2 linked regions of the Schizosaccharomyces pombe genome follow. Changing the gene in region 2 together with the main gene of any one other region gives a genetic interaction. Each region holds a gene or a part of one and is shown on either strand. Other genes may lie near its edges.

The links.
Region 1: mutations in slx9 (region 2) and bcs1 together harm fitness less than expected from each alone (positive genetic interaction), as found in Schizosaccharomyces pombe (one large-scale study listed by BioGRID).

The regions. Positions count from the first base shown.
Region 1 is NC_003424.3:2,684,525-2,689,116, reverse strand, and holds bcs1 (iron-sulfur protein assembly ATPase), read right to left. Parts: upstream 3,054-4,592; 5' UTR 2,712-3,053; coding exon 1,362-2,711; 3' UTR 1,296-1,361; downstream 1-1,295. Other genes in the region: utr4 (methionine salvage haloacid dehalogenase-like hydrolase), read right to left, coding at 219-800, 854-922.
Region 2 is NC_003424.3:495,196-500,186, reverse strand, and holds slx9 (ribosome biogenesis protein), read right to left. Parts: upstream 2,131-4,991; 5' UTR 2,017-2,130; coding exon 2,014-2,016; exon of another isoform or gene 1,973-2,013; coding exon 1,457-1,972; 3' UTR 1,160-1,456; downstream 1-1,159. Other genes in the region: erd1 (EXS domain-containing protein), read left to right, coding at 1-903; dop1 (family protein DOPEY), read right to left, coding at 2,498-4,991.

The DNA.
Region 1 (4,592 bases), 2.2 Mb from region 2:
CATTGGGTTAAAAAAATTATAATAATTCAATATATTTTAAGAGAAGAAATTGCGTTGACTAATTTTCGGATGTATTCAAAGAAATCATGAAAAAAAAAACACAAAGAAATAGAAAATGAGAGCACAAGAGAATCAAAATTCTTTTAAAGAACTCATGTCCTTTAAAGAAACTCATTACTTTGTTCTAAGCGAAACGGTCGTTAGGGTTCACCATTGCTTTATTCCGTGAACAAAATTTCAAAACTATTGTACACGGGGAATCCACTGGTGTCTACAACAGGATCATTGCCAGGACGAACCACCAAACCGGTGTGCAACCCGACTTTTCTTGCAGCTTTCAACTCGTTGATATTGTCACTCAAGAAGAGCCATTCTCTAGGATTTGAGTTTCCCACAATTTTCACATAACTGCCACACTCAGTTTTAAGCCCTATAGTAGTATCGTAATATCCAGAGAAATACTTTAGAAGGTTTCCAGCATCTGAATGCTCGAAATACAATTTCTGAGCTGGAACACTCCCACTGGAGTAAATGTAAACACGCATTCCCAATTGCAAACTACGTTGAATAGCAGGAACAACATCGGGGAACAAGTGTGAAGTTAGTTCATTACTTTCATAACCTTTTTTCCAAATACGACCTTGGACCATTTTGAAGGAACGTTCTTTGCTTCCTTCAGCATGCAACTTTCGTAAATTTATCAAGGCCTCTTCAGGCGTTTTTCCAAGTTCTCGCAAGTTTTCATCACTTTCATAATTTTCATTAACATAACTTTCGTATCTTGAAGCAGCGTATGGAAACTAGCATGGGTTAAACACGATCTACATTGTTCTCAATAAAAAACTTCACTTACCAATTTGTCTTTGACAAATGAAATGCTACCCACAGTCCCTTCAATATCCAAGAGCAAATTTTTAACCATTTTTTGTAATAAAGAGATGCCGTACAACTCACTTTTCTTTTAGGACACAAGTTTTATGCAACTTTAAAGAAGTAAGATGTGCAGTAAGTAGGATTAGTACTTTGCGAATTCAGCTATGCATCACGTAAAATAATTTAAGATTACAATTGGAATTTTATTGGATTTTACTTTCTTAAACATATGGAAAAAGAATTTCAACAGCTTGCAGCTTTTTATTGAGAACATGCATTTGAATAATTATCTTATGCATGCCTGTCTTTTAGAATAGAAAATACGGACTAGTTATTTTTTAACCATTTTTTAAATTCATTAATTATTCATAGATTAATCGCGTACAATATATGTTTCTACCAAGATGTCTTTTTTTTGTGGTCAAGATTGATAAGTAGAGCTTATTACGAAACGAATAACATTTTAAGTTAAATAAATCTAAGGGATTTCATACAGACAAAGACTTTCTGTGTACGTTAAAGGAGAAAGGTGTACTAGGAGGATTATCAGGAAGCTCTTTAGCCATATCAACAGCATCAGCAGGTGAGCTCTTATTCATTACAAAAAGACCCTGCAATGAAGCCATACTTGTATTTTTTGGACACACTATATCACTTAAATCGTCAGCCATCTCTGGGGAGTGACCGTAAAAGCGAGTAAACATTTCGCGAACTTGTTCAGGTGTAGCATTTCCAAGATATGCTTTAACGTCAACGCGGCCCGGACGAACGAGAGCTGGATCAAGCTTTTCAGGATGATTAGTTGTCATAAATATAATCCTTTCGTCTGATGAAGTGACACCGTCGAGTGCATTTAACAACCCACTAAATGTAACATTGGCATGAAACCCAACTTCCCCAGATCGTTCCCTACCTTGAAATGCAGAATCAACATCCTCCAGTAAAACTACTGCCTTGGGAGGTACATTAGAAAGTAGATGGTTGAGACGATCGTCAGTTAAGCCTTTTTCAGCCAAGTTTAGAACGCATATGTCGTAGTCCAATTCACCTGCAAGAGCATATAAAAATGAGGTTTTTCCACTTCCAGGAGGTCCATAAAGAAGATAGCCTCTTCTATATGGAATTCCTCTTGTATCATACCATTGTGAATTTCGTAAAAAGTCATGAACGTCGTCTGTAATCATTTTTTTAACATTGCTTTCAAGTACAACACTAGAAAGCATCCTTTTTGATCTAGGGTGCCCGAAAGGCTTCCATTCAGTGGCCCAAGCCGTGTATATAGTAGTCTTGTTTTTTTGAGCACTTTGCATGAATTTTTGAGCTTCTAATAAAAGTTCGGAAAAAATTCCACGATCTCTTGAAAGAGTGGTAAGAGTAATTGTCTCCCAAGGTGTTCCAGTTGTTAAATCTTGCAGACGATTGCTACGCTCTCGTTCTACTTGAATCCAACACTTTTTGTACTTTATGTAATGCTTTCCAGGACCTGGAACGAGGCTGAATATACGATTTGCAACTTGCTTGTCAGGTTTTTCCCTAGCATTTTGCGGCATTTTGAGTTGTCTGTTGCTTTCAACAGCCAGCTGATTTGAATAGCGTTTAGGCACCGTGCTCATCCAATGCAAAAAGGCATTATAACTTTTTTCTTTGCTTGGAATTTCGACAGACACTAGCATCCTTCTTTTTACTAAGCTTGCTCCTGAAATAAGCCCACGACGTAATATGGCTAGCCCAGCACCGAAACCCATTAAACCAATACCAGCACCTAAAAATGAATTTCCACTTAGTAACCCAGAAATGCCAGAAGACGTCGCTGCATCGGCAGCACCTATATTATCCATTTTTAAAGTGGAAAGACGATGAGAAGAAGGGAGGAAAGTTAATATTAATTTAATTCTTCAACGTAACGATAGCGGTTTCTTGCATATAAAGGAAATTTTTGGTATAAATAATTCATAGAAACAATTAAACCTTTATGAATATAATCAATTCTTTACGGAGGACATGTATAACAAAATATTGTAGTAAATCAAATGTCAAAACGCATATGTCAAAATGACCAGTAATTGATAGGTTTCAAACAAAAAAGAAATAAAATGTTCAATGAAGAAATTATATAATCCAATTTTATTGGAATGTTGAGAAAAAATGGAGGAGTTTTTGGTATGAACGAGGTTCTGGGTGAGGTTCATGTAGCCAACAATTTAGTGCTTTGCTAAGAAATTCCAAAAGTCTATGACTTCCGATAGGAGCGAAATAGATATGTTAGAACTAAAGAATAGTATAAAGCTAATTACATGAAACTGTTTTTCACATTGTTAATGTTTGTTTTAAACTTTTAATACCAGCTTGAAAGGTTCTGCTTGAAATAGAGAGAGTAACTTTGCAAAATATTTAACTTTTGACATTGAAATATTTTATGTAAAATGTTGGAAGGATGCATCTTGCTAGTGTTTAATATTTCCAGCCTACATGTGTGTGTTTACTACCCAATTTTTTAGAAATTGTTGCGAGTCTGGAAATCTAAGATCAAAAGTAAAGTATCATATCAAACCTATCCAGTGACAGCAATTGAGTAATTAAGAAAAAATTTCTTCCGAGGTCGCTTGATCTGGACTTTAGAAATGATACAAATGTTAGAGCCTGTAAATAAATTTTTTAATGACTTGATCACATTGATGATGGTAGCATATAATAAATATTCAGAACAAAATAACTGCATATAAATTTGCATTTCACACTAAGATAAGTAATTGATGTAGAACATATACATCCCGATTCTTCATGGCAGAAAAAACGCTTGCAAGTATGTTAGTGATTTGCAATTTTGCACTTGATGAATATAATTAAAAACTAAAGCTGCATCCAAAACATAATTAAATCGAGGCTGATGTATAATATTAATTTTCTTACAGGTATTCGTAAGAGATCGTACTTTGGAAAAAAACTAATGACTTTTAAAATCATTGGGCATACTTTAGTATGAAATTCAAATTGTATTTTGAACTGAGTTGGTGATTATGTATATGCACACTTTCTTTAAAAGATCAAAGATTTTGACAAAGAAAATTCTCTTGGCGAACAAAGAAACATCAACAAAGAACTTGGGAGGAAAGAAATAGTCATTGTTAAAAGCTAAGAAAGGAAAAGTCTTCGAATTTGCCAAAACATTAAGAAATTCTTTATATACTCAAATCAATGTATTTTAACCCACTTGCACTTCTTATACAGGTTTTTCAAGATGCATTTATATTTACATATACTGGTTACCCTGCTATCAATGTTCAACATCATATTCAAGCGTTTTCAAAACCAAAAAAGTTATACTTACAAACCTTGAGTTTTTCATTTCATTTCTTTTTTCTTTCGAGATCAATGAACATACTAAAAAGAATTCATTCAAGCTGAACACCTTCAATGCCTTTCATTGTTTAAAGACTTTATTATATAATTGTACATAATTTAACACAATACAAGCAAGTCCCGAGTGGCTCAATCGGTTTAGAGCGTCTGACTCTTATGATGGTCATCAGAAGGTTGCGAGTTCGAGTCTCGCCTTGGGAGGTTATTTTTTAATGTCTATATCTTACAAGTCCTTCTTATGTTGCAGTAGTGTAAATTACCGTTTTTAACCATCGTGCAACGTGGAACACAAAATTGACTAAATTAGGAAATCCCATTTTCAAAAACTATTATTGACTTCATAAGTTATGAAATGAAAA
Region 2 (4,991 bases):
ATATTAGGTACTCTACTTTTCGTAATAGCCGAATCCTTATATTTGATTTCTGGGTCTGATGAATTGGCATACGTCCCCGTTTTTATTTTTGGTGTTATTGTTTTTATGCCTGTACATAAGTTCTGGTTCTTCCAGAGAAAGGTGTTTACTCGACAGTGTCTAAGGATTTTGGGAGGAAGCTACAGACCTGATTACAAATTTCCCGATGTTATATTTTCTGATTTATTGACTTCTTACTCGAGGGTCATTGCTGATCTCTGGCTAGCTGGAGCAATCTTGATTTACGTAACTGACTCACCTAATAACTCTCATAGAAAACAATATGAAAATGAGGTTATTATGTCAATGATTGCAGCGTATCCATACGCTATCCGATTTCGTCAATGTTTGATTGAAAGAAGCTCTGCGGATAATTCATCAGATAAATTTTGGAGTACATTGAATTCTATCAAGTATTTCACTGCTTTTCCAGCGATATTCCTTGGGATTTTTGCAAAGAAAAGATTTAGCTTTCTATGGTTTTTATGGAATACCTCTTCAGCTATAAATTCAACTTATTCATTTTGGTGGGATGTTTCAATGGATTGGAGTCTTCCCTTTTTTAAGCAACCGTTATCAATCCAAAACTGGAAATTTGGGGTTCGGCGTTTATTCCCAACATTCACATTTGCAGTTGTAAGTGCGATTGATTTTGTTTTGCGAATGGCCTGGGTAGTTCGCGTTTTGCCTGAACATCAATCCGCGTTTTTTACCACCGACTTTGGGATCTTTATAATGCAATTTCTTGAAGTTTTCCGACGTTGTGTTTGGGTTTTTTTTCGGATAGAAGCCGAAGCTTCTAAATCATTGGCCTATGTTAACATAAGTGATCGTAGTGACATCCCGACAATACATCCAGATTAAATGGAAATGATTGAAGTTACTATTGTCACATATGTGTAGGTATTACATCTGCAACCTTTTCAAAAAATTTCTTTCTTTAGGGCGTATCAATTTACCGTTCTATTATTTGCTTGGCATATAATATGTTTTTCATTCTTTTATTGCGCTAATGGTTTAATATTGCAAGTACATTGTCATTTGCGGACTTGCAACACAATGGCACCGTCTCGCTGAATTGGGTTTACTTAAAGTAAGAAAGTTACTTAAAATTTTATTATGGATATATACTTTTATTTGTTACATGGGAATCGTAATGGGTTTGAACAAATTTCACCATCTTTTACTGATTAAGTTGTTGAGTCAAAAGTTTAAAACATGAATTTAATAATAAATAAATAAATCAAGCTCTCTTTTTGCATACTGAATAACAAACTAGATCAGTAGACTTTTTTATTGTAAAAACATAATCAGTAAGTATGAAAAGAACCTCCCAAAGAAAACCCCCCAAATTAATCATGCATTTATAGTGTACTCAAATTCCTTCCAAATTTACCTAGACATGAGCATGCTCTATTTATCTACTATCCAAAGAGTTTCCTAAGTGCTCCCGTACCGTTTCCAAAGGATTTGAAACGAATGAAGGGTGCTTCAATATGGCTTGGAACCTTTCGATTTCCTCAACGGTATTTCGTTTCATAGAACTCTTAGTTTGTTTAGAAGATAAACTATCCTTAATTACGGGCTTCAACCTGGAGTTAGCTACCGAAATATCAAGATCAATTTCTGGAAGTACTTCTCCAATCGAAGACACATTGACTTTCAGGTTTTCTCTGGCTTTACGGTTCCGGCGCTTACGAGCCGAAGCAGATATTTTTGGATTAGAAAATTTTTGCTGCCAGTTGAAATGACGGTCTTTCCGTTTATCTTTCTTTGTTTCTTTCAGCGGATCATTGTTGAGCACTTGACTATTCGAAGTAACGGTGGAAGATAACTCGACATTTGGAATACTAGCTTGTTGGCTAGGTTTACCAGAAGACGGTAAACGACTTGATGCTTTTGACGCTAGACTGACTCTTTTTTTTGCTTTTGGCTGTTGTCGTCAGCCAAACGTTTATCTATGGATGAACATACCATGCTAAAATAAAATTGATTGTGAATCAATCGATAAAAATCGTTTTAAATGTTAAATAGGATATATAACCAAAATAATATTTACGATTGGAGTGAAATATCTTGAATATTCGGTGTGCTTTCTGGTTTAAAAATTCACTACAACTATTGGCATCGGATTTAACGGACTGCCCTTGATTGCGTAAGTTGGTTTCATAATATTAGTATTTGAAATGAAAAACTTAACTTACATTAATTTCCATCTTATGTGCAATGAATTAAGAAACAACATTAATTAACAATTTTTATAAATTAAAGCAGTTTTAAATGAATGTCCAACATGGTTCCTAAAGTATTTGCAAACTAAACCCTATAGCCATTTTCCGAATATAAACATTGAAACTTGAAAAGAAAATACATACAAAAATAATTAGGTTAGAGTAACTGGAAGTTACATAAGAAGCCACACAGCCTAGACTTCCTAATCGATATAAAATACTATGAATTAATTACTGGAGCCAGCCAGGCTTGATGGAGCCTTAATTGAAGAAAAGGGAGATAGGGGAGCATTAGAAAACCTTTGAAGAACTTCCCTGTAAATAGAATTTTCAAAAGATTGTATGTCGATTGTTGAAAACGAGTAGCTTTCTTCATAAGCGTCTATAGAAATGCGATTTAAAAAGTTTCTTAATTGAGCGTCCGTTGTGTAAATGCCTAAAGAAGGGGTTCTTGTAGTTGAAGTAAGAATAGAATGTTCGGATTCAACACTGGATTTGTCGTCCTTCTCCGATGCTTGCTCCTGAAGTCGCTCAGAAACCTTTTGTACGAGGGATTTACGGCTAGTTTTTCCGCTCCAATAGACAGCATCTAGTGGACTAAGCATCACAACCCATTCATGTAGCGCAAATTCTTCAAGTTTGAGTGCAGTTAAAAAATCCAAAAGCCTGCATGCGTCTAATAATGTCTCTTTAGAAATGGCAACATTTGGCATACAGTAAGATTTAAAAATGATCAACAATTCGCTAACAACGATTGGCCATAATGGAAGCAAATGCTTCGAAGAGGTCCTTAAAGCTAGAGCTCTAATAAATAAAAACAGGTCCTTTTTTAATACTCCTTCAGGATCAGACGTTATAAGCCGTTTGACAAGGTCAATCAGAGGTGGAAGACTAGGCAGGAAAAAATCACGTGGAGAAGATAACATTAATATTGTGATCCGACATATGTTGCTCTGCCTTGCACCTAGTTGAGTATCCCGAGATGTAAATAAAGTAGTAACGCCTAAATCAGATTTTGTTATGAGATCATTTAATCTAGATATCTCTTGGTACAAAGCTGTGTATATTACTGGAGAAAGCTTTCTTAATTGATCAATATCGAACCTGAACAGTGAATTATCATTAAAAATTTCCCAAAAATCGCGCCTCCATGATTTACTCAAAAACGGATGTTTACTCAACACGAGCAATAAGTCCAAATGATAAGTGGTGAGTGATTCCGGAAATGTCCTAGCCTTTACTAAAGGAGTTATAAATACATTGACGATTGATGTAGCCCAAGCAACTAGTTTATCTTCTTCCTTAGAAAGCTCGGTTATTTTTGGAACAAACTCAGAACAGAAAAAGTCAAGCAAAGAGGGATCTAAGTATTTTACGAATAAATACACGGAGCTAGTTTTCTTTTGTGTTTTGGCAACCTCAAACGTGTCTGCAGCAGCTTTATGATACGCCAGAAAATCTACAGTTAGGTTTGGATCACTTGATTTTCCTGCATGAAATAAGACTGAGGACAATGTTTTCCCCATCAAATCAATAAAGTCTTTTTGCTGGCGAGATTCGCAATAAGTGTTCACGTTTTTTGCAACTTCCAGTAGCATTCGTAAACATACCAGCAAATAGTTTTTAAAGCTGTTTGAGGAAGAAATAATCTCCCGAACAAATTTTGAAATTTCCGTAAAAATCTTAGATGTGTTTTCGCCCTCCACTCTGGAGACGAAGTCAGACATACAGCATAAAATATCGAGTTGTGTAATCTTTGCTGTCAAACTAGAAGGCCCTGCATAACTAGCTATTCCTTCACGTGCAAAAAAAGAAGAAACTAATTGCTTAACAATGTACTGAGGTTCAGAATCACTAAGAAATGAAAATATATCCCATATACACTGGCAACACTCAACATTGTTCTCCAAATAGATTTGTACCAGCGTTTCTACGCATTCAAGAGGTTCACAGAAGTAAAACTCTTTTAATCCCGATAAGGATGCTTCTTTTAAAACCGATGAATCATTCATAAATACTTTTGACGTTTTATCAGCATATGAAGACCGAATATGCCATGAATATGATAAAAATAATGTTTGCAAAGCATCCTGCATAGTTAAAAGCATAGATAATCTCTTGTTGACATCGATGCTAACGCCTGACGACTCCGCTGCAAACACACCAGAAATGACATTTCCGATGATACCATTGGCTTCTAAATTACTTTTCTTGGGGCCGGGTGAATATGTGAATTCCAATAAGGCTGCTGAAACTAACTCGCTAAGCATTTTCAACTTAGCAATAAAAACATCCATGCACGCATAATCTTTTACTGGGTCAGGGTATTTTAGGTACATAGACTCGTGTTGGTCAAGAAATGAATGAACAAATTTGCACAAAGATTGAATGGGATTAACCATCAAAAGTTGAAGGTTTTGTAAAAGAAGAGGTAAAAGCTTCTTTATAGCATGTAGCCACTTTGGCGAAAGTCCTGGATCATCATTCAACATTCCAACCAAAACAAAATTGGACAACAGATAATGCTGTTCAGAGGAAAGATCTATAGTCCCATCTAATCGAGAGAGTAAAAATTCTAGCATTTGCAAAAGACTCAAAATAAAACTTCGATAAGTTGATGAAGGAGAACGCTCAACTTCCTGTACAAGCGCAAACAACCCAACGATTAGACTAGATTCAAATTTTAGAGGGTTTTCCCATATGGAGGTTATTTGGTAAAGC